2 linked regions of the Anolis sagrei genome follow. The protein of the gene in region 1 purifies or fractionates together with the protein of each later gene. This does not show direct contact. Links are inferred from orthologs where the notes say so. Each region holds a gene or a part of one and is shown in the gene's direction. Other genes may lie near its edges.

Region 1 (10,543 bases):
TCTCCTCCTCAGGGGAGGGATGCAAGAGGTCCTTTGCGAGCTGCAGGGAAAAGAAAGCCAAAGCAAGGGCCGCCTCAGGCAGAGACCAACCCAAGCCCCCCGTTTCCCTTCCCCGTTCCTCCAAGGGTTCAAGGCCAGCCTCACTGAGGCAGGGGCCAGGCAGCCCGGAAAACTCACAGCAACCCAAGAATATAAGCACGCTCAGTCTGGGCTATAAATCAATACTGGAGATAATAATAATAATAATAATAATAATAATAAGCATGCTCATGGAAACCTAGAGTTGGAAGAGACCTCGTGGGCCATCCAGTCCAACCCCCTGCCAAGAAGCAGGACAATAGCATTCAAAGCACCCCCCATCTGTGCTGTTAATTAATCCTGGAAATAATAATAAGATTAATCATCATCATCATCATCATGCTCATCTGTGCTATTAATTAATCCTGGAAATAATAATAAAAACAATAAGGAGGAGGAGAAGCATGCTATTAATTAATCCTGAAAATAATATTAATAATAGTCATAATCATGCTCATCTGTGCTATTAATTAATCCTGAAAATAGTAATAACAAGAAAGAGTAATAACAAGAAGAAGCATGCTATTAATTAATCCTGTAAATAATAATAATATTAATAATAATCATAATCATGCTCATCTGTGCTATTAATTAATCCTGGAAATAATAGTAGTAAGGAGGAGGAGGAGGATGCTCAGTCTGTGCTATTAATTAATGCTGTAAATAATCAATAATCATAAGCATGCTCATCTGTGCTATTAATTAATCCTGGAAATAGTAGTAGTAGTAATAATAATAATAATAATAATAATAAGCATGCTCATCTGTGCTATGAATCCTGGAAATAATAGTAGTAATAATAAGAAGAAGTATGCTCAGTCTGTGCTATTAATTAATCCTGGAAATAATAATAAGAAGCATGCTCATCTGTGCTATTAATTAATCCTGGAAAAAATAGTAGTAGTAGTAGTAGTAGTAGTAGTAGTAATAATCATTAGCATGCTCATCTGTGCTATGAATCCTGGAAATAATAATAATAATAATAAGAAGTATGCTCAGTCTGTGCTATTAATTATTCCTGGAAATAATAATAATCAATAATCATAAGCATGCTCAACTGTGCTATTAATTAATCCTGGAAATAATAATAACAAGCATGCTCATCTGTGCTATTAATTAATCCTGGAAAAAATAGTAGTAGTAGTAGTAGTAGTAATAATAATAATAAGCATGCTCATCTGTGCTATGAATCCTGGAAATAATAGTAATAATAATAAGAAGTATGCTCAGTCTGTGCTATTAATTATTCCTGGAAATAATAATAATCAATAATCATAAGCATGCTCATTTGTGCTATTAATTAATCCTGGAAATAATAGTAGTAATAATAATAATCATCATCATAAGCATGTTCATCTGTGCTATTGATTAATCCTGGAAATAATAATAATAATAATAATAATAAGCATGCCCTCCCTCCAGATCTCCTGCCAGAGACTCAAAGCGGCTTAACATGAAAGCATCAGCACACTATTTCAAATCTACAAACATTCAAACATAACTGGATATCAATGGTATTTTAAAAGTCAAGTTAAAATCCATACAAACGTATATTTGAAGCTAAAAACCCGGGTCAAAACCTAATTTCAAAGCCTGACTGAATGGAAAGGCTTTGGCCTACAGTTGGAAGGAAGGAAGGGCAGCTGGGAGGGAGCCCCAACCTTGGATTAGCATTATAATGGCTTTGCAGCTTCAAAGCCTGGCTGCTTCCTGCGGGGGGGGGGGATCCTTTGTTGGGAGGTGTTAGCTGGCTCTGATATAACCCCCACTTGCAGACCTCACCACCTCTGAGGATGCCTTTATAGTCATAGATGCAGGCGAAACGTCAGGAGAGAGTACTTCTAGAATATGGCCATATAGGTCAAAAAAACCACAGCGATCCCAGCCACAAAAGCCTTCGACAATACTATTGCTATTGTCGTAAGGGATGCTGGATCTAGGCTATAAATTAATCCAGGAAACAATGATAGTAATAATAATAATAGTATGTACTTATAACCTGAGCCAAAGATGTAGGCGAAACGTCAGGAGAGAGTGCTTCTAGAATCTGACCAAAAAACCCACAGTGATTCCAGCCAGTGTGGGTTATTTTTAATTTTAATTACTATTAATGTCATAAGGGACGCTGGATCTATGTGATAATTAGTTAATTAATCCCGGAAATAATGATGATTATTATTATTGGGAGTGAGAGAAGGACGGGCCTCTGCTGAGGGGGATCTCAAAAAGGCCCAAAAGCCTCTCCTTGATTTACAATACTTTCCTTAATATGTGATGGTATACAATCTTAGTAATGGTGGAGGCCCAAACCATCCCTTCCCTCCTCCTCCGCCCCCAAAGCAGCCACGTCCGCCATTTTGTGCCTGGCTCCTTCGGCCTTCGGAGAGGCAGCGGCCTGGGCTGGCCCGAGCGGCCGGGCGCGGCGCCTCCTCGGCGGGGGGCGCTGCCAGGAAAGGCCGCGGCGTGGGGCGAGGCCTAGCGCGGCCTGAACGAGGGAGAGAGAGAGACTCACAGGCATGTCCGCGTGGAGGCAGCGACGGCCGGAAAGGAGCCACGCCGGAAAGAGAGGGCGCTATATCCGCTCGGCGCGGGGTTTCCCCGGAGGGAGGCCGGAAGTCGAGGGGAAAGGGGGCGGGGCGGAGACTGACCACGCCCCGCCCTCCACTGCGCAGGCTCAGCGGCGCCATCTTGAGGAGGGGAAAGGAGGGGAGGCCGCCATGATGGGAGGGAAAGAGGGAAACAGGCCTACATGCATAGATAGATAGATAGATAGATAGATAGATAGATAGATAGATAGATAGATAGATAGATAGATAGATAGATAGATAGATAGATAGATAGATAGATAGATAGAGAGATAGAGAGATAGAGAGATAGATAGATAGATAGATAGATAGATAGATAGATAGGAAGGAAGGAAGGAAGGAAGGAAGGAAGGAAGGAAGGAAGGAAGGAAGGAAGAAGGATGGATAGATTTATTTATTTACAGCATTTATATATCTCGGGACTTAAGATAGGAAGATAGATAGATAGATACATAGATAAGTAGATAGATAGATAGATAGATAAGAAGATAGATAGATAGATAGTTAAATAGATAAGTAGATAGAAAGATAGATAGATAGATAGATAGATAGGTAAATACATAGATAAGTAGATAGATAAATAAATAGATAGATAGATAGATAGATAGGTAAGTAGATAGATAAGTAGATAGAAAAATAGGTAGGTAGGTAGATAAATAGATAGGTAAATAGATAGATAAGTAGGTAGGTAGGTAGATAAGTAGTTAGATAGATAAATGGATTGATTTTCATCTTGTCTCCTGCCTATGTGTCATCAGTCTCCTGTGCTATGTTAATAATATAATATATTGTATATTATATTATTTATTTATAATATTATAATGTAACATAATACACTACTAATAATAAGATATTAAAATTATATATTTTATAAGACATGTAATATTATTAATATTACAATATAACGGTATAGTACAATATAGTAACATATAATACTGGTATTGTATTATGCTAATAATATAGCATATTGTATGTATATCTATCTTGTAAGCTGCTCTGAGTCCCCTTCGGGGTGAGAAGGGCAGCATAGAAATGTCTTAAATAAATACATAAATAGATAGATAGATAGGTAGGTAGGTAGGTAGATAGATAGATAGGAATATAAATGGAAAGCTGGATGGATGGATGGATGGATGGATGGATGGATAGGAAGGAAGATAGATAGATTGATTGATAGATAAGAAAATAGGAAGACTGGAAGGAAGGAAGATGGATTTATAGATAGATAGGAAGATAGATAGGAAGGTAGATAGATAGCTAGATAGATGGATAGAGGTAGGAAGGAAGGAATGTAGATAGATAGGAAGAGAGACAGAAAGATGGGAAGGAAAGAAAGATAGATAGATGAATAGATATGAAGATAGATGGATAGACAGACAGACAAATAGATACAGATAGATGCATAGATAGATAGGAAGACAATTGAATACATGGATGGATTGATAAGATAGTTGGATAGATAGATAGATAGATAGATAGATGGATAGATAGGAAGAGTGATATTTAATTGTTTCTCCCTCAAGCAGACGATCCCTCTCTCAGCTAACAATTGAAACTCTGCAGATGGATGGATGGTTGGATGGATAGCTAGCTAGCTAGGTAGGTAGATGGATGGATGGATGAATGGATGTGTGGGTGGGTGGATAGATAGATGGATGGATGGGTGGGTGGGTAGGTAGGTAGGTAGATGCATGGATAGATGGGTGCATGGGTGGATAGATAGATAGGTAGATAGATGGTTGGATGGATGGATGGGTAGGTAGGTAGGTGCATGCATGGATGGATGGATGGATGGATAGATGGGTGGAGAGATGGGTGGATAGATAGGTAGATAGATAGATGGATGGATGGATAGGTGGATGATTGGATGGATGGGTATGTAGGTAGGTAGATGCATAGATATATGGATGGATGGATGGATGGATGGATAGATGGGTGGATGGATAGATAGATGGATAGGTAGATGGATGGTTGGATGGATGGGTAGGTAGGTAGGTGCATGCATGCATGGATGGATAGATGGGTGGATAGATAGGTAGATAGATAGATAGATAGATGGATGGATGGATGGATGGATAGGTGGATGATTGGATGGATGGGTACATAGGTAGGTAGATGCATAGATGTATGGATGGATGGATAGATAGATAGATAGATAGATAGATAGATAGATAGATGAATAGCTATGAAGACAGATGGATAGATAGATAGACAGACAGAGATAGGAAGATAGAAAGATAGATAAATACATGGATGGATGGATTGATTGATAGATGGATAGATGGATAGATAGATAGAGTGATATTTAATTGTCTCTCTCTCAAGCCGTCTCTCTCTCTCTTTTCCAGCAATTGAGACTCTGCCATGCCTATACATTCAAAGTGTATAAAACTCATAATTAAAACCGATGGAATCCTGATAGCCACAAAAGGCCTCTTGAACAACCTCACAGCGCATTTGTATAGTTCTAAACTGCACTGGCACGGGGATTGGGAAGGGAGGGGATCCTTGCTCAGCTTCCCTTGCAGTGAATGCACTCTGCACATGCTCATTGTCCCCCTCTTTTGTTTCCCCTTCTTCTTTTGCAGAGTTTGCTAGGGATGCCTGGAGCCTTCCTGCTTCCTGTCCTTCCTCTGGTCCTGCCTCCTTAACCCTTTCCTTTCCTGGAGGAAGTAACTTGGGAGGAAGCCGAGGGAGTGGACTCCGGGAAAAGGGGAAGAGGAGGAGGAGGAGGAGGAGGGAAGAAAGGAAGGGGAAAGGAGGAGAAGAGGAGGAGTTGTGGCATTTCCCCCCAGCTTGGGGACCCCTTCCTCCACTTCCTTCCTGGCCCTTCCTTCCTTGCTTCCTCCCTTCCTTCCTCTTCCTGGGGGCGATGATGGCCAAGTCCTACGACCACCTCTTCAAGGTGCTGCTGATTGGGGACAGTGGCGTGGGCAAGACCTGCCTCATCATCCGCTTCGCAGAGGACAACTTCAGCGGCACCTACATCTCCACCATTGGTAAGACAGGAGCAGAAGACCCCACCATCACCACCATCACCATCATCATCATCTGGATCATCATCATCATCATCATCATCATCATCATAGAGACAGGAATAATAATAATCATCATAATAATAATACATTCCTAGATGCAGAAGGGAAACCCCAAAGGGCATCCAGTCCAACCTCCATCCTGCCAGGAAGGAAAGCACAACGCCATTCCTCCCAACAGAAAGCCAGATAGTCTCCAAATAACAACAACAACAACAACAACAACAACAACAACAACAACAATAATAATACAATCCTAGAGGTGGGAGGGATCCCGGTAGGAAGGAAAGAATGAGGCTGGAAGGAAGGCACAATTCAATCCCTCCTGAGAGATGGCCAGCCAGACTCCTCATAATAATAATAGCAATAGGAATACTAATCATAATAGCAACAACAACAACAATAATAATAGAACCATATAACCCCAAAAGGCCATAAAATCCTAGACTTCAAAGGAAATAATAATAATAATAACAATAGAACCATACAACCCTAGAGTTGGAAGGGACCCTAAAGGCCACCCAGTCCAACCCCCTTCTGCCAGCCACCGAACGCACAACTCAATCCCTCCTAACAGATGGCCATCCAGCCTTTTTATTATTATATTACTAATAATATTACAATATAATGGTATAGTGCAATATAGTAATATATACTGATATTGTACTATGCTAATAATATAATATATTGTATGAAAATATATATTGTAAGCTGCTCTGAGTCCCCTTCAGGGTGAGAAGAGCGGCATATAAATGCTGTAAATAAATAAATAAATAAATTTGAATAATAGCAATAATAATAATAATAATAATAATAATAATAATAATGTCTGACATGTGATCCAATGCAACAACCAGCAGAGTGATCTTGTCTGCTGTGGACTCATCTTGTTTTGTTTATAATGATGATGATGATGATGATGATGATGATGATGATGATAGAAATGGGAGGGACCCTAAAGGCCACCTAGTCCAACCCCCTTTCCTGCCAGGCAGGAAGGTACAACTCAATATCTCCTAACAGATGTCCATCCAGCCTCTGAATAAAATAATAATAATAATAATAATAATAACAACAACAACAACAATAATAATAATAATAATAATAATAGCATCTGACGTGTGATCCAATACAACAGCCAGCATAGTGATCTTGTCTGCTGTGGACTTGTCTTGTTTTGTTAATAATAATAATAATAATAATAATAATAATAATAGAATTGGGACAGACCCTAAAGGCCACCTAGTCCAACCCCTTTCCTGCCAGGCAGGCAGGCACAACTCAATCTCTCCTAACAGATGGCCATCCAGCCTCTGAATAATAATAGCAGTAATAAAAATAATAATAATACAATACAACAGCCAGCAAAGTGATCTTGTTTGCTGTGGACTCATCTTGTTTTGTTTATAATCATAATCATAATCATAGAATTGGGAGGGACCCTAAAGGCCACCTAGTCCAACCCCTTTCCTGCCAGGCAGGCAGGCACATTTCAAGCTCTCCTAACAGATGTCCATCCAGCCTCTGAATAATAATAGCAGTAATAATAATAATAATAATAATAATAATACATCAGCCAGCAGAGTGATCTTGTTTGCTGTGGACTCATCTTGTTTTGTTTCTAATAATAATAATAATAGAAACCCTGAGCTTAAAAGTGTAATGGCTTCCTCCCTTTTCCTTCCTTCCTTCCTTCCTCCCTTCCTTCTTCCTCACCCAGGCATTGACTTCAAAATCCGGACCGTGGACATTGAGGGCAAGAGGATCAAGCTGCAGGTCTGGTAGGTCCCTTTCGGAGCCGCGCTTCTTCCCAAGCCGTGGCCGGGGAGCGGCACCTCCGGTTGCAAGGCTGCTCCATGCTTGTTGATCACAGAGTGCAAGCAGACCTCTCCTAGCCTGGCATGCCTGCTCTCTCCTCCCAGCAGCCCAAGAGAAACATTGAGGAGCCCGCAAGTTTCGGGTCTGATAGGAATGGTGGGAGTTGGTCTAGAACTGGTCTAGAACACCCGTTCTAGACCCTGCACCGTGTCTCTCCTAGCCCTCCATTGCATTCCCGCCCTCTCCTCCCAGCAGCCCAAGAGGGGCATTGAGGAGCCTTGGGTCTGATAGGAATGGTGGGAGTTGCAGTATAGAACAGGTCTAGAACACCTGTTCTAGACCCTGCAACATGTCTCTGGCTAGGAATGCGCATGGATCCGTGAGCGTGAGCATGCTTTGTTTCTCTTCCAGGGACACAGCCGGGCAGGAGCGGTTCAAGACCATCACCACCGCCTATTATCGGGGCGCCATGGTAGGACCCCAGCCCGCCCTTAGTGGCGCTAGAACTCCCCCCCCCCCCAGGTGTCGTTTGCGGGGATTTCTGTCTTACTTCTTTCCTGCCACACCACAGAATCACATAATAACCTTGGAAGGGACCCCAGGGGCCATCCAGTCCTCATGCAGGAAAAGCCCAGTCAAAACCCCCCCGACAGATGGCCACCCAGCCTCTGTTTAAACTGCTGCGAACGTGCCCTTCCTGGGTCTCTGTGTTCCACCTCGCAGGGCATCATCCTGGTCTACGACATCACCGACGAGAAGTCCTTTGAGAACATCCAGAACTGGATGAAGAGCATCAAGGAGGCAAGTCCCGTTTCCATGCATTTCCACCGTATGGAATGAATGTATATATGTTGTTAATCTTTGTGCTTTAATTATGTTGCACGCTGCCTTCGGCCGGGAGGAGAGCCGGGTAAGAAATAAAATAGAATGATTATTACATTATTATTATTATTATTATTATTATTATTATTTTACTGACACAAAAACACAGTATGTCACAGCAAATGAGATCTATATGTGTCAGGAGTCAATTTCTGACGGCATGAAAACATCACAAATTCCCTCCATGACCTCCTGACTGATCAATTCTCTCTCTGTGATATTCTGAAGCCAGCCGAGGACGCTGGAGACCATGTGTTGCATCCCAGATCAGGAAACGAGACCATAAGATCAAATCCACCACACTGGACTGTGGGGAAAAACAATCCTTTTTATTGATGAAAAATGGTTACAAAATAGAGGAAAATGCAAAGTCAAAAAGCCACAGTAGAAACTCAGCAGTCAGGAAAATCTCTGAACTTGAGCACAATTCCAAAAGCCACAATACAAAAACCTCGAACCTGTTAGCATCTCACTAACCATACTTGAAAACTAGAAGCCTCTGGAAATGCAGGCCATGGAACGCAGGAAATCTGCCAAGGTGTTGCCTCAGTCTAAACGATGCTTGATCTAACGAGACAGCCCGGGGAGAGGCCCCTTAAACCAAAGAAACTGTTTCTTGACACGCCTCCAGGCTTTGAAGCCTGAGCCTCCCTTTCCCTTAATCTACTTGACCTTCTCAGACTCTGTGATTCACTCCTGTTTCTCCAAATCTGTTCTCTTCGATCCTCATTAAAAAAAAACCCAGGTGTGAGTTCCTCTGGAGAGCTATCACCGCTTGGTTCCAAAACATCCTCATCAGGAAATTTAGTTTCATTTTCCCAGCCACTGCCCTCAGAATCAACAGTTTCCAAACCATCAGGGAAAGAGACATGTTCAGAGGCCTGTTCAGTTGCATCAGGAAATACAATTAGAGAATTGGGTTCAGGTTCACACAGAGATTGAGGCACAGGTTCGCACGGAGGCTGAACCCCAACACCAGGTTATGGAACTTGTGAAGCAACAAGTTCTAATAAGGAAACTGAGAAGAGGGGGAAGATGGGCAGAAAAGGTGTCTAAAAGGAAGTGGTGGTGGGAAAAAGTCCGTAGTGTCTTAATGTAAGACTGTAGGATCTATACAGCAATATTAAAGAACCACTCACAAGCCGTCTTTGCTGCAGAGATACCAGCCATATGTCCATTTCAAAGCAGAACCGGCTTGTGAGTGGATATTTAATATTGCTATTGAGATCCTACAGTCTTACAATATGCTGGATTATTATTATTATTATTATTATCATCATCACCACCACCACTACTACTACCATTGTTGTTGTTGTTATGTGTGCAAGGGGCCAGTGAATGGGGGGTGGCTGGGTACACAAGGGGTGCGTCTACACTGTCAAATGGATGCGGTTTGAGACCATCCCTCCCGTTGCGCAGAACGCGTCCTCGGGCGTGGAGCGGCTCCTCCTGGGAAACAAGTGCGACATGGAGGCCAAGCGCAAGGTGCCCCAAGACAAGGCCCAGAAGGTACCCAGGGGAAGGGGGCTTCGGGGGGGGGGGGGTCTCTCTCTCTCTCTCTTTGCCGGAAGACCTGGGTTCCTCACGGGTTCAGGAGGTTACTGGCACACCTCCCTGGCCTGGCTCCTCTGCTTTCATCCCTCTTCCCCCTCCCTCCCTTCCTTCCTTCCTTCCATCCATCCATCCATCCATCCATCCATCCATCCATCCTCTCTCTTTTCCTAACTTTATTCCTTCTCTCCTTTCTTCTTTTTCTACATTCTATCCTTCCTTCCTTTCTCTCTTTCCATCCTTCCTTCCTTGTCTTATCTTCCTTCTCTCCTTCCTTCACCTTCCTCCCTCACTCCTTCCTTTCTTTCTTCTTTCCTCCCTCCCTTCCTTTCATTTCCTTTCCTTCCTTCCTTCCTTCCTTCCTTCCCTCCCTCCCTCTCTTCTCCTTTCCTTAATTTCCCTTCTTTTTCTCTTTTTCTTTCTCACCTTCTTTCTATTTCTTTCTCTTCCCTCATTCCTTTCCTCCTTTCCTTTCTCTTCCTTCCCTACTTTTTTTCCTCCCTCCCTCCTACATCTCTTCTCCCTTCCTTCCTTCCTTCCTTCTTTCCCCCTTTTTTCCTCCCTCCCTCCTGTGTCTCTTCTCTCTTCCCTCCT
Region 2 (10,158 bases), on another chromosome or scaffold:
CTGCAGAATTTGAAGAGGCACGAATGCAGACAAAGAGAAATGTACCAAGCCGCCTTCCACCTGGAAACCAATGCCCTCACTCCAGGAGGAGATGCAGGTTAAGAATAGGGCTCCACAGCCACAAGAATACAGATCATGGAAGACTATCCTACTTGTCCAACGAGGGATTGCCTAAGTAAGTAAGTATATTTCAGAGGAAGGAACTGGCAAAACTCCTTGTCTAAGAAAATCCTATTAAATTCACAGAGTTACCATAGATTGACAGGTGAATTGAAAGTATGCATGCATACATATACAAAGTTATATCTGGCAACGCTACACAAATATATTGGGTTATTTTTTACAGGTTTAAAGTAAATTGTTCTAGAGAATTAGTCCTACACAAGGAGCTGTTAGCAGAGGATGTTCATTTCCTTTGAAAGTGGATTTCCTTGTGATGATGACCAGATGCAAAGGAAGACAGAGAAGGGCTCCTTTTGTGAAGGAGGAATTAGGCAGTGGGGTGCTTTCCTAGCCATCCTGCCTTTCCCAGCATTGCTACAGAAAGGAGCAAGGGCTTTGTTCTTTTCTGTTGCCTTTCTCATGGGTGGGGCAGCGGTGAGCATTTGAGCTCTGCGGGGCTACAAATACAAGAATACAAATACAGGAATACACACGGTTGCCAAACGCATGTGTGCATGCGCATTCTCCTTCGTTACCACTGGCAACAGGATGTCAGAACAACCATTAGCTGGCTTTGCTTTCACCAGCAAAGCCATTGGAGTGCCAAGCAAATGTATCCTGACCCCACCTTCCACTCATGCTTTAAACAGTTGAGCCCTGTTGCTTTCTTGTGAGTAAACACACCACAAACTGCACACTGACTATTCCTCCTCTCCATCCCCTGAAGGAGTGAGAGAGGCAACCCTGTGGAAAGCAAAGATGCCCATGAAATGCCCCATTGGTCTTGCTGGGAGCATCTTCGACGCTTCACCCAGATTATAAAATGAGGCAATGTTTGATGCAACTGGGAGTATTTTAGGAAGGTTGTGCGTGGTTCTTTTGCGGACGAGGATTACCGTGCTTTTCTTGAATTTGTAATCAGATGGGAGATTGGGAAGAAGGAAATACAGTCCTAAGGCGGGCTTATTTTCTCCTCCCTTTACAAATGTACAATGTATAATGTGTATGTGTTTTTTTTCTAATGTAAATATATATTTTCAGTACACACTATATTTTTAAAAGGAGAAAATGGGCCTTCAGGGCGAAAAATCTCTCATCTTCCATTGGTTGCAGTGTTTTGTGTGTGTGTGTGTGTACACACACACACACTTAATTTTTTAAAAGGAGACGACAATGGACTCTTCAGAACAATGTTTACTCCTCCCGTTTGGTTGCGATGCTTTATGTGTCTGCATGTATACTGACTGTGTATATAGAATCAGAGTTGGGTCGCTCATCTAGTCCAACCCCCTGCCATGCAGGAAAAGCACAATCAAAGTAGCCCCAACAGATGGCCATCCAGCCTCTGTTTCAAAGCTTCCAAGGAAGGTGCCTCTACTGCATTCCAAGGCAAAGTGTTCCACTGTTGAATAATAATAATAATAATAATAATAATAATAAGAAGAAGAAGAAGAAGAAGAAGAAGAAGAAGAAGAAGAAGAAGAAGTGGGTTAAACCCTTGTGCCAGCAGGACTGAAGACTGACAGGTGCTAATCCGGGGAGAGGTGGATGAGTTCCCACTATCAGCTCCAGCTCTTCATGCGGGGACATGAAAGAAGCCTCCCACGAAGATGACAAAACATCAAAATCATCCGGGCGTCCCCTGGGCAATGCCCTTGAGAGAAGCCTCCCACAAGGATGATAAAACATCAAATCATCTGGGCTTTCCCTGGGCAACGTCCTTGCAGACGGCCAATTCTCACACACCAGAAGCAACTTGCGGTTTCTCAGGTTGCTCCTGACATGACAAATAATAATAACAATAACAACAACAATAATAATAATAAGTGCCACCTGCCAGCAGTAAATAATAGGTGGGATCATAAACCTGCAAAGGTCATGGAAAATGAGCATACAAAAATACTGTGGGACTTTCAAAGCCAGACTGTTAAAGTTTTCGAAGCCAGACTGATAAAGTTTTGGAACACAACACACCAGACGATTGTGGAAAAGAAAAAAGTCTGGATTATTGATGTCACCATTCCAGGTGACAGTCGCATTGAGGAAAAACAACAGAAAAAACTCAGCCACTCTGACCTCAAAATCGAACTGCAAAGGCTCTGGCATAAACCAGTACAGGTGGTCCCAGTGGTCAATGGTGCACTAGGTGCCGTGCCAAAAGATCTCAGCCAGCATTTGGAAACAATAAACATCGACAAAATCACGATCTGTCAACTGCAAAAGGCCACCTTACTTGGATCTGCGCGCATAATTCGAAAATACATCACACAGTCCTAGACGCTTAAGAAGTGTCCGACTTGTGATTTTGTGATACGAAATTCAACATATAGATTTCGTTTGCTGTGACATACTGTGCTTTTGTGTCAGTAAAATAATAATAAAAAACGTTATTTGTACCCCGCCACCTTCTTGTCAAAGAGGACTCAGGGCAGCTTGAGACCAAGCCCAAAGGTACAATGCAGCAAAATAAAATACAAAATGCAGACAACAAAAATACATCAGAATAAAATACATACAATAGCAAAAATAAATAAATAAATAAAGCAAATTGATATAATATAAAACCAAACGGGCCAAATGGACGAGGTAAAATGATAAAACCCTAGATGAAGTTGAATAGAAAATGTGTAATTGAGAGGAGCCCAAAAAAGATGAATAGTGGGTTTAGGCTTTTAGTTTAGGACGGGGGAAAGTGCATCATAGGGCAACACTATAAATGGAATAAACAGAAATGGGATAAATGGTTACTCTCCAAAGGCACATCAGAGGAGCAAAGTTTTCAAAGTTGTTTTGAAGGCTACTAAGGTAGGGGCTTGCCTAATCTCACCGGGTAGTGAGTTCCAAAGTTGGGGGGCCACAGCGGATTCCTATATATATATGTTTTGGTATGCAGATTCCTTTACTCTATGGTTCCTGAGAAGTTATAAAAGGGACTTCTGGTTGCTTCTGGAGATACTTATTCTGCATAGAATTATGGAAAATATAGACCCCTGTCTGATCCCACAGCAAGCTGGCTTCAGGAAAGGCAAAAGCTGCACATTGCAAGTGCTGACCCTGACTCAGCACATAGAAGATGGCTTTGAAAGGCAGCAGATCACAGGAGCTGTCTTCATAGACTTGTCAACAGCCTATGATACTGTGAACCACCGCCTCCTCCTGAGAAAAATGTTTAATATCACAAAGGATTACCACCTCACCCGCCTCATAGGAAACCTGCTACAAAACAGGAGCTTTTTAGTTGAGTTCCAGGGCCAGAGAAGCAGATGGCGGAAACAGAAGAACGGCCTGCCTCAGGGGAGCGTGCTTGCTCCATCCATGTTCAACATCTACACAAATGGCGAGCCACTGCCAGAAGGGACAGAGAGTTTCATCTATGCTGATGATCGTGCCATTACTGCTCAAGCAGGGAGCTTTGAGATGGTAGAACAGAAGCTCTCTGAAGCTCTAGGTGCTCTTACTGCCTATTACAGGGAAAACCAGCTGATCCCTAACCCATCTAAAACACAGACATGTGCCTTTCACCTTAATAACAGACAAGCATCTGGGAAGGAATCCCACTGGAGCATTGCAGCACACCCAAATACCTGGGAGTCACTCTGGACCGTGCTCTGACCTACAAGAAGCACTGCCTGAACATCAAGCAAAAAGTGGGTGCTAGAAACAATATCATACAAAAGCTGACTGGCATAACCTGGGGATCACAACCAGATACAGTGAAGACATCTGCCCTTGCGCTATGCTACTCTGCTGCTGAGTACGCATGCCCAGTGTGGAACACATCTCACCACACTAAAACAGTAGATGTGGCTCTTAATGAGACATGCCGCATTATCACGGGGTGTTTGCGCCCTACACCACTGGAGAAATTACACTGCTTAGCTGGTATTGCACCACCTGACATCTGCCAGGAAGTAGCAGCCAATAGTGAAAGGACCAAGGCAGAGACATCTCCAGCTCATCCCCTGTTTGGGTATCAGCCAGCACGTCAACGACTTAAATCAAGACATAGTTTTCTTAGATCTACAGAGACACTCGCTGGAACGCCTCAGCAAGCGAGAGTCCAAAAGTGGCAGGCTCAAACCCAGCACCTCAATCCATGGGTGATACCAGATGAGAGACTCCCCCCTGGACACACAGAAGACTGGGCGACTTGGAAGGCGCTGAACAGACTGCGCTCTGGCACCACGAGATGCAGAGCCAACCTTCAGAAATGGGGCTACAGAGTGGAATTCACGACATGCGAGTGTGGAGAAGAGCAAACCACAGACCACCTGCTGCAATGCAACCTGAGCCCTGCTACATGCGCAATGGAGGACCTTCTTACTTGGAGCAACACCAGAGGCACCAGAGGCATTCCAAGTGGCCCGATACTGGTCAAAGGACATTTAATCAAACTACTAAACTCACAAATTTTGTATTTTGTCTGTTTGTTTGCTTTGTTCTGTTAGAAATGTAATATAATTTGACTGGTTGCTCTGACACGACAAATAAATAAATAAATAAATGGATACTGTTGGCATTGAATTGTTGCCTGCGTTAGCCGCCCTGAGTCCCCCCTCAGGGGTGAGAAGGACGGGGTAGAAATGGTCTAAATAAATAAATAAAGGAGATTCCATCTGAACACGAGGAAGAACTTCCTGATTGTGAGAGCCGTTCAGCAGTGGAACTCTCTGCCCTGGTTTGTGGTAGAGGCTCCATATTTTGAGGCCTTTAAACATGAGGAAGAACTTCCTGGCTGTGAGAGCTGTTCAGCAGTGGAACTCTCTGCCTCGGTGTGTGGTGGAGGCTCCTTCTTTGGAGGCTTTTAAACAGAGGCTGCATGGCCATCTGCTGAGGGTGCTTTGAATGAGATTTTCCTGCTTCTTGGCAGGGGGTTGGACTGGATGGCCCATGAGGTCTCTTCCAACTCTTTGATTCTATGATTCTATATATATGTATAGAGAGAGAGAGAGATAGAGAGAGAGATAGATACACACAGAGATGTATGCATATACTAGAACCCATCCTTGCAGTGAGGTTTCCATGGTGAAGGCAGGCCTGACAAGCCCCCTCCTCCTCCTGCCCTCAGCTGATGACAGGGAGAAACAGGGGCCGGAACTCGTTTCCCATCCTCTCTCTGCGCTGAGGCTGTGGCCAGAACACGGCGGAGGGGCACACTCCCACCCCTCGCCCTTTTCTCCATCCGCCTCCTTTGGAAAAAGGGGCGCGAGGATCCAGTTCACCCTCCCTTTTCCAAGGCGGAGCGATCTCTGCTTTCTCTCTCGGCTCTGGGACTCGTTTATTTTCCCCGGCGGGGTGATCCGCTCGGCGCGGTGGTGCGGCTCCATCTTGGCTCCGCTCGGGGCGGGGGCTCCGCGGCCGGGACCACCACCGTCACCACTACCACCACCATGGACGAGGCCTACGACGTGATCGTGCTGGGCACCGGCCTGACCGTGAGTCTCACCGGGGAAGGGCCAGGGGCGGCCCGCCTGTGGGGACTCCTTTTCCTCCGCCACCGCCGCATCCCAGCCTCCCTTCCCTTCCATTGCAGGCAGGATGCAGCGTCGCCCTTCCTTGATGCAATGGGGAGGGGGAGACCTTGCATTGCAATGGGATGGATGGGGATGGATGGGGCATCTTTCTATTTTTATTTTTCCAAGCACCCACTTCCATATTTCTCCTGCAATAATAATAATAATAATAATAATCATAATTTATATTGCAATCGGATTATGGAGATGGGGCATCAGTTTTTATTTTTCCAATAATAATAATAATAATAATAATAATAATTTGTATTATTTATATTGCAATGGGATGGTGGGGATGGGACATCTATTTTTTTTATTTTTTTCCAAGCACCCACTTCCATATTCCTCCTGCAATAATAATAATAATAATAATAATAATAATAATAATAATTATTTATATCACAATCGGATTATGGAGATGGGGCATCAGTTTTTATTTTTCCAATAATAATAATAATAATAATAATAATAATAATTTGTATTATTTATATTGCAATGGGATGGTGGGGATGGGGCATCTATTTTTTTTTATTTTTTTCCAAGCACCCACTTCCATATTCCTCCTGCAATAATAATAATAATAATAATAATAATAATTTATATTGCAATGGGATTATGGAGATGGGGTATCTGTTTTTATTTTTCCAATAATAATAATAATAATAATAATAATACTTTGTATTATTTATATTGCAATGGGATGGTGGGGATGGGGCATCTGTTTTTGTTTTTTCCCAAGCATCCACTTCCATATTCCTCCTGCAATAATAATAATAATAATAATAATAATTTATATTGCAATCGGATTATGGAGATGGGGCATCAGTTTTTATTTTTCCAATAATAATAATAATAATAATAATTTGTATTATTTATATTGCAATAGGATGGTGGGGATGGGGGCATCTATTTTTTATTTTTTTCCATGCACCCACTTCCATATTCCTCCTGCAATAATAATCATCATAATAATTTGTATTATTTATATTGCAATGGGATGGTGGGGATGGGGCATCTGTTTTTGTTTTTTTTCCAAGCACCCACTTCCATATTCCTCCTGCAATAATAATAATAATAATACTTCGTATTATTTATTTTGCAATGGGATGGTGGGGATGGGGCATCTGTTTTTTTATTTTTCCAAGCATCCACTTTCTTATTTCTCCTGCAATATATTATTATTATTATTATTACAATAGGATGGTGGATCGTGCATTACAATGGAATGGTGGAGATGGGGCATCTATTTTTATTTTTTTTCAAGCACCAATTTCCTTAATCATCCTGCAATAATAATAATAATAATAATAATAATAATATATTGCAACAGGATGGTGGAAATTGTGCCTTTATTTTTTTTCCCCAAGCACTCATTTTCTTATTTCTTCTGCAATATAAATGATAGTGATTATAATAATAACAACAGCCAGCAGAGTGTCTGCTGTGGACTCATCTTGTTGTGTTTCTAATAATAATAATAATAATAATAATAATAATAATAATTTGTATTATTATTTATATTGCAATGAGATGGTGGAGATGGTGCATTTATTATTATATTTTTTCCAAGCACCCACTTCCTTATTTCTCCTGCAATATTATTATTAATAATAATTTATATTGCAGTGGGATGATAGATCATGCATTCCAATGGGATGGTGGAGATGGTGCATTTATTTATTTATTTATTCCAAGCATCTACTTCCTTATTTCTCCTGCAATATACATTAATAATATTATTATTATTACAATGGAATGGTGGGAATGGTGCCTTATATTTTTTTATTCCTTATTTCTCGTGCAATATAAATAATAATTGTTATTTGGATTATTTGTATTGCAATGGGATGGTGGATCGTGCATTGCATTTTTTATTTTTCCAAGCACCCACTTCCTTATTCCTCCTGCAATATAAATAATAATAATATGATGATAATAATAATAATAATAATAATAATAATAATAATAATAATTGTCCTTCCATGCTGTGTATGTGGATTTCCACCTCATTGGCTCTGTTCTCCTAATGGAAATGGGTTTGGCCCCATTGCAGCTCCTCTGATGCAACCCTCCATCCATCCTCAATGTCTGGGTACCAATTGCAAAGCCTCTTTCTCTCTCCTTCCTTCTTTCCTTCCGTCCGTCCTTCCTTCCCTCCCTCCCTCCCTTCTTTTCCTTCTTTACTTTCATCCTCCCCTTCCTTATTTCCCTTCACTCTCTTCTCTTCCTTCCAACATTTTGGCCAGATCCTTCTTATTTCCAACCCATCCCTTGTCTTTAAGATAACAATCCTTGTGTAGCAGACAGTGTTTCCTTCTGTGCTTATTTCAGTGCTGCCAATTGCCCCGGGCGCTCTGTTGGTTGGCAGCATAGAAAATGGGAAGAAAACGACAATAGCATTGCTGCAGTTCCTAAGGTCTGCATAGCATCCCTCTCTCGACATCCCTCATCTCCGATTCCCAAAGTCTGGAGTCACAATATGGGAAGTCCACCCCGTTATCAGTATCTCAAGATTGAAGGGTCTTGCAGAGCAAGGCCAAATCCTGGTGCAGATGTGTGTGTGCACCTACTATTGCAGGCTTGGACAGGGCACAACCCCCTCCTCAGTATGCGGTTCTTCAGATGTTGTCCATGGTTCTGCAAGTCTTCTGGCTATCTAAGGTCCCATGCTTTTCCCACTCTGAATTTTGGTACTGCCTATGACATCTAAGGTCAATGTTTTATATATATATATCTCCACACACACCAAGGATAATTTTATTCTCATTTTCCATATTCTTGTAATCCAGAAAGGAGACTTGGGGTGACATCAAGGGTGTCAAAGCCATTTTCATCAAAAGCCACACCAACCTTATGATTGGGTTGTTGTAGGTTTTTTCGGGTTATATGGCCATGTTCTAGAGGCATTCTCTCCTGACGTTTCTTATGATTGCCTTCAAAGGGCCGTTGCATCCATGGCAGAGAATCCATGGCTACAGAGGACTAGCTAATTTTTTTTTACATTGTTGGTGTTCTTTAGTTTTTATCCGTTTGGCTTCCCAGGTGTTATTGAACGACAACTGCCATCACTGTGATTATCCACTGACTGAGAATAATGGGAATTGCAACCCAACAGCACTTATAGATCTGAAGTTGAGGAAAGGTTGAACGGCATTTTAAAATCAGATATCATATCCATAACCCTTGTATTTAAATTCAGACCCCACTCTCCTGACTGAAGAAAACACTTTTCAACCTTCCAGATGTTGCTGTATCACAACTCCTATCAGCTCTCAATTCATCATGATGTCTAAGATGAGGAAGACAACTTGTAGTTCAGCATCTGGAAGAGGGCCACATAAAACAACATGGCGGGTGAAATTCATCCTGTGGGATTTGAGTTTGACACAAGTCACTGTAGAATTACCGTATATTCTGGTGTATAAGACTACTTTTACCCAAGAAAATCTTCTCAAAAGTCAGGGGTCATCTTATATGCGGTGTCGTCTTATACGCTGGAGTGGCCTTATACATGGGAGTCATCTTATATGCAGGGGTAGTCTTATACGCCAGGAGTCGTCTTATAGAGTGGGTGCTGAAACCCAATCAAATTGGAGAATCTGTGGTTGCCGCATATGGTGGGAAGCTCAAAAATGGCAATGGCCGTGTCCCTGCCATATGAATACGTCAATATACATAATGAGATATTGAGGAGATGGGACTCAGGTCTAAACACTTAATTTATTATGAAGGGAATTTATACATAATGTTTTACTAATTTTGGGCATGAAACATCAGAAATAAAGTGTCAGTAGATCCGCCTAGTCAACGCCATGGCATTCCCTGTAGTAACCTAAGGATGTGAGAGCTGGACCTTAGGGAAGGGTGAGCGAAGGAAGAGAGATGCTTTTGAACTGTGGTGCTGGAGGAAAGTTCTGAGAGTGCCTTGGACTGCGAGAAGATCCAACCAGTCCATCCTCCAGGAAATAAAGCCCGACTGCTCATTGGAGGGAAGGATACTAGAGACAAAGTTGAAGTACTTTGGCCACATCATGAGGAGACAGCAAAGCCTAGAGAAGACAATTATGCTGGGGAAAGTGGAAGGTAAAAGGAAGAGGGGCCGACCAAGGGCAAGATGGATGGATGGCATCCTTGAAGTGACTGGACTGACCTTGAAGGAGCTGGGGGTGGTGACGGCCGACAGGGAGCTCTGGCGTGGGCTGGTCCATGAGGTCACGAAGAGTCGGAGACGACTGAACGAATGAACAACAACAACATCTTATCCACCTCTGAGGACAATTTTGGAGTATTATGGATTATTGAACTCCTGATAAGAGATACTCAATCTATAATATATTCTGGGGGAGCCATTTGTCCTCTTGGGGCAAGTAGGCTTCTCTTTGTTTCTGAGCTCAGAACGCATTGACTTTTAAAAGCAGATTACCACTGCAAACATATTTTGTGGTTAGCCATGATGACTTAACCGTAATGGTTTCTCCTAAGT

The links.
Region 2: the proteins of RAB13 (region 1) and GDI1 purify together in Homo sapiens (affinity purification with mass spectrometry; 4 studies listed by BioGRID and IntAct, counting the BioPlex papers as one, with this or other methods). This does not show direct contact. The link is inferred for Anolis sagrei from reciprocal best matches to the Homo sapiens genes RAB13 and GDI1.

What each region holds. Positions count from the first base shown.
Region 1 is NC_090032.1:665,548-676,090, reverse strand, and holds the start of RAB13 (ras-related protein Rab-13), read left to right. Parts: upstream 1-5,267; 5' UTR 5,268-5,535; coding exon 5,536-5,662; intron 5,663-7,418; coding exon 7,419-7,479; intron 7,480-7,927; coding exon 7,928-7,988; intron 7,989-8,239; coding exon 8,240-8,317; intron 8,318-9,817; coding exon 9,818-9,907; intron 9,908-10,543. Other genes in the region: RPS27 (small ribosomal subunit protein eS27), read right to left, coding at 1-40, 2,591-2,596; guanine nucleotide exchange factor subunit RIC1-like, read right to left, coding at 2,651-2,742, 2,828-3,006, 3,098-3,275, 4,457-4,650, 4,851-5,029.
Region 2 is NC_090022.1:174,392,993-174,403,150, reverse strand, and holds the start of GDI1 (rab GDP dissociation inhibitor alpha), read left to right. Parts: upstream 1-5,369; 5' UTR 5,370-5,552; coding exon 5,553-5,597; intron 5,598-10,158. UniProt on the Homo sapiens protein: Regulates the GDP/GTP exchange reaction of most Rab proteins by inhibiting the dissociation of GDP from them, and the subsequent binding of GTP to them. Promotes the dissociation of GDP-bound Rab proteins from the membrane and inhibits their activation.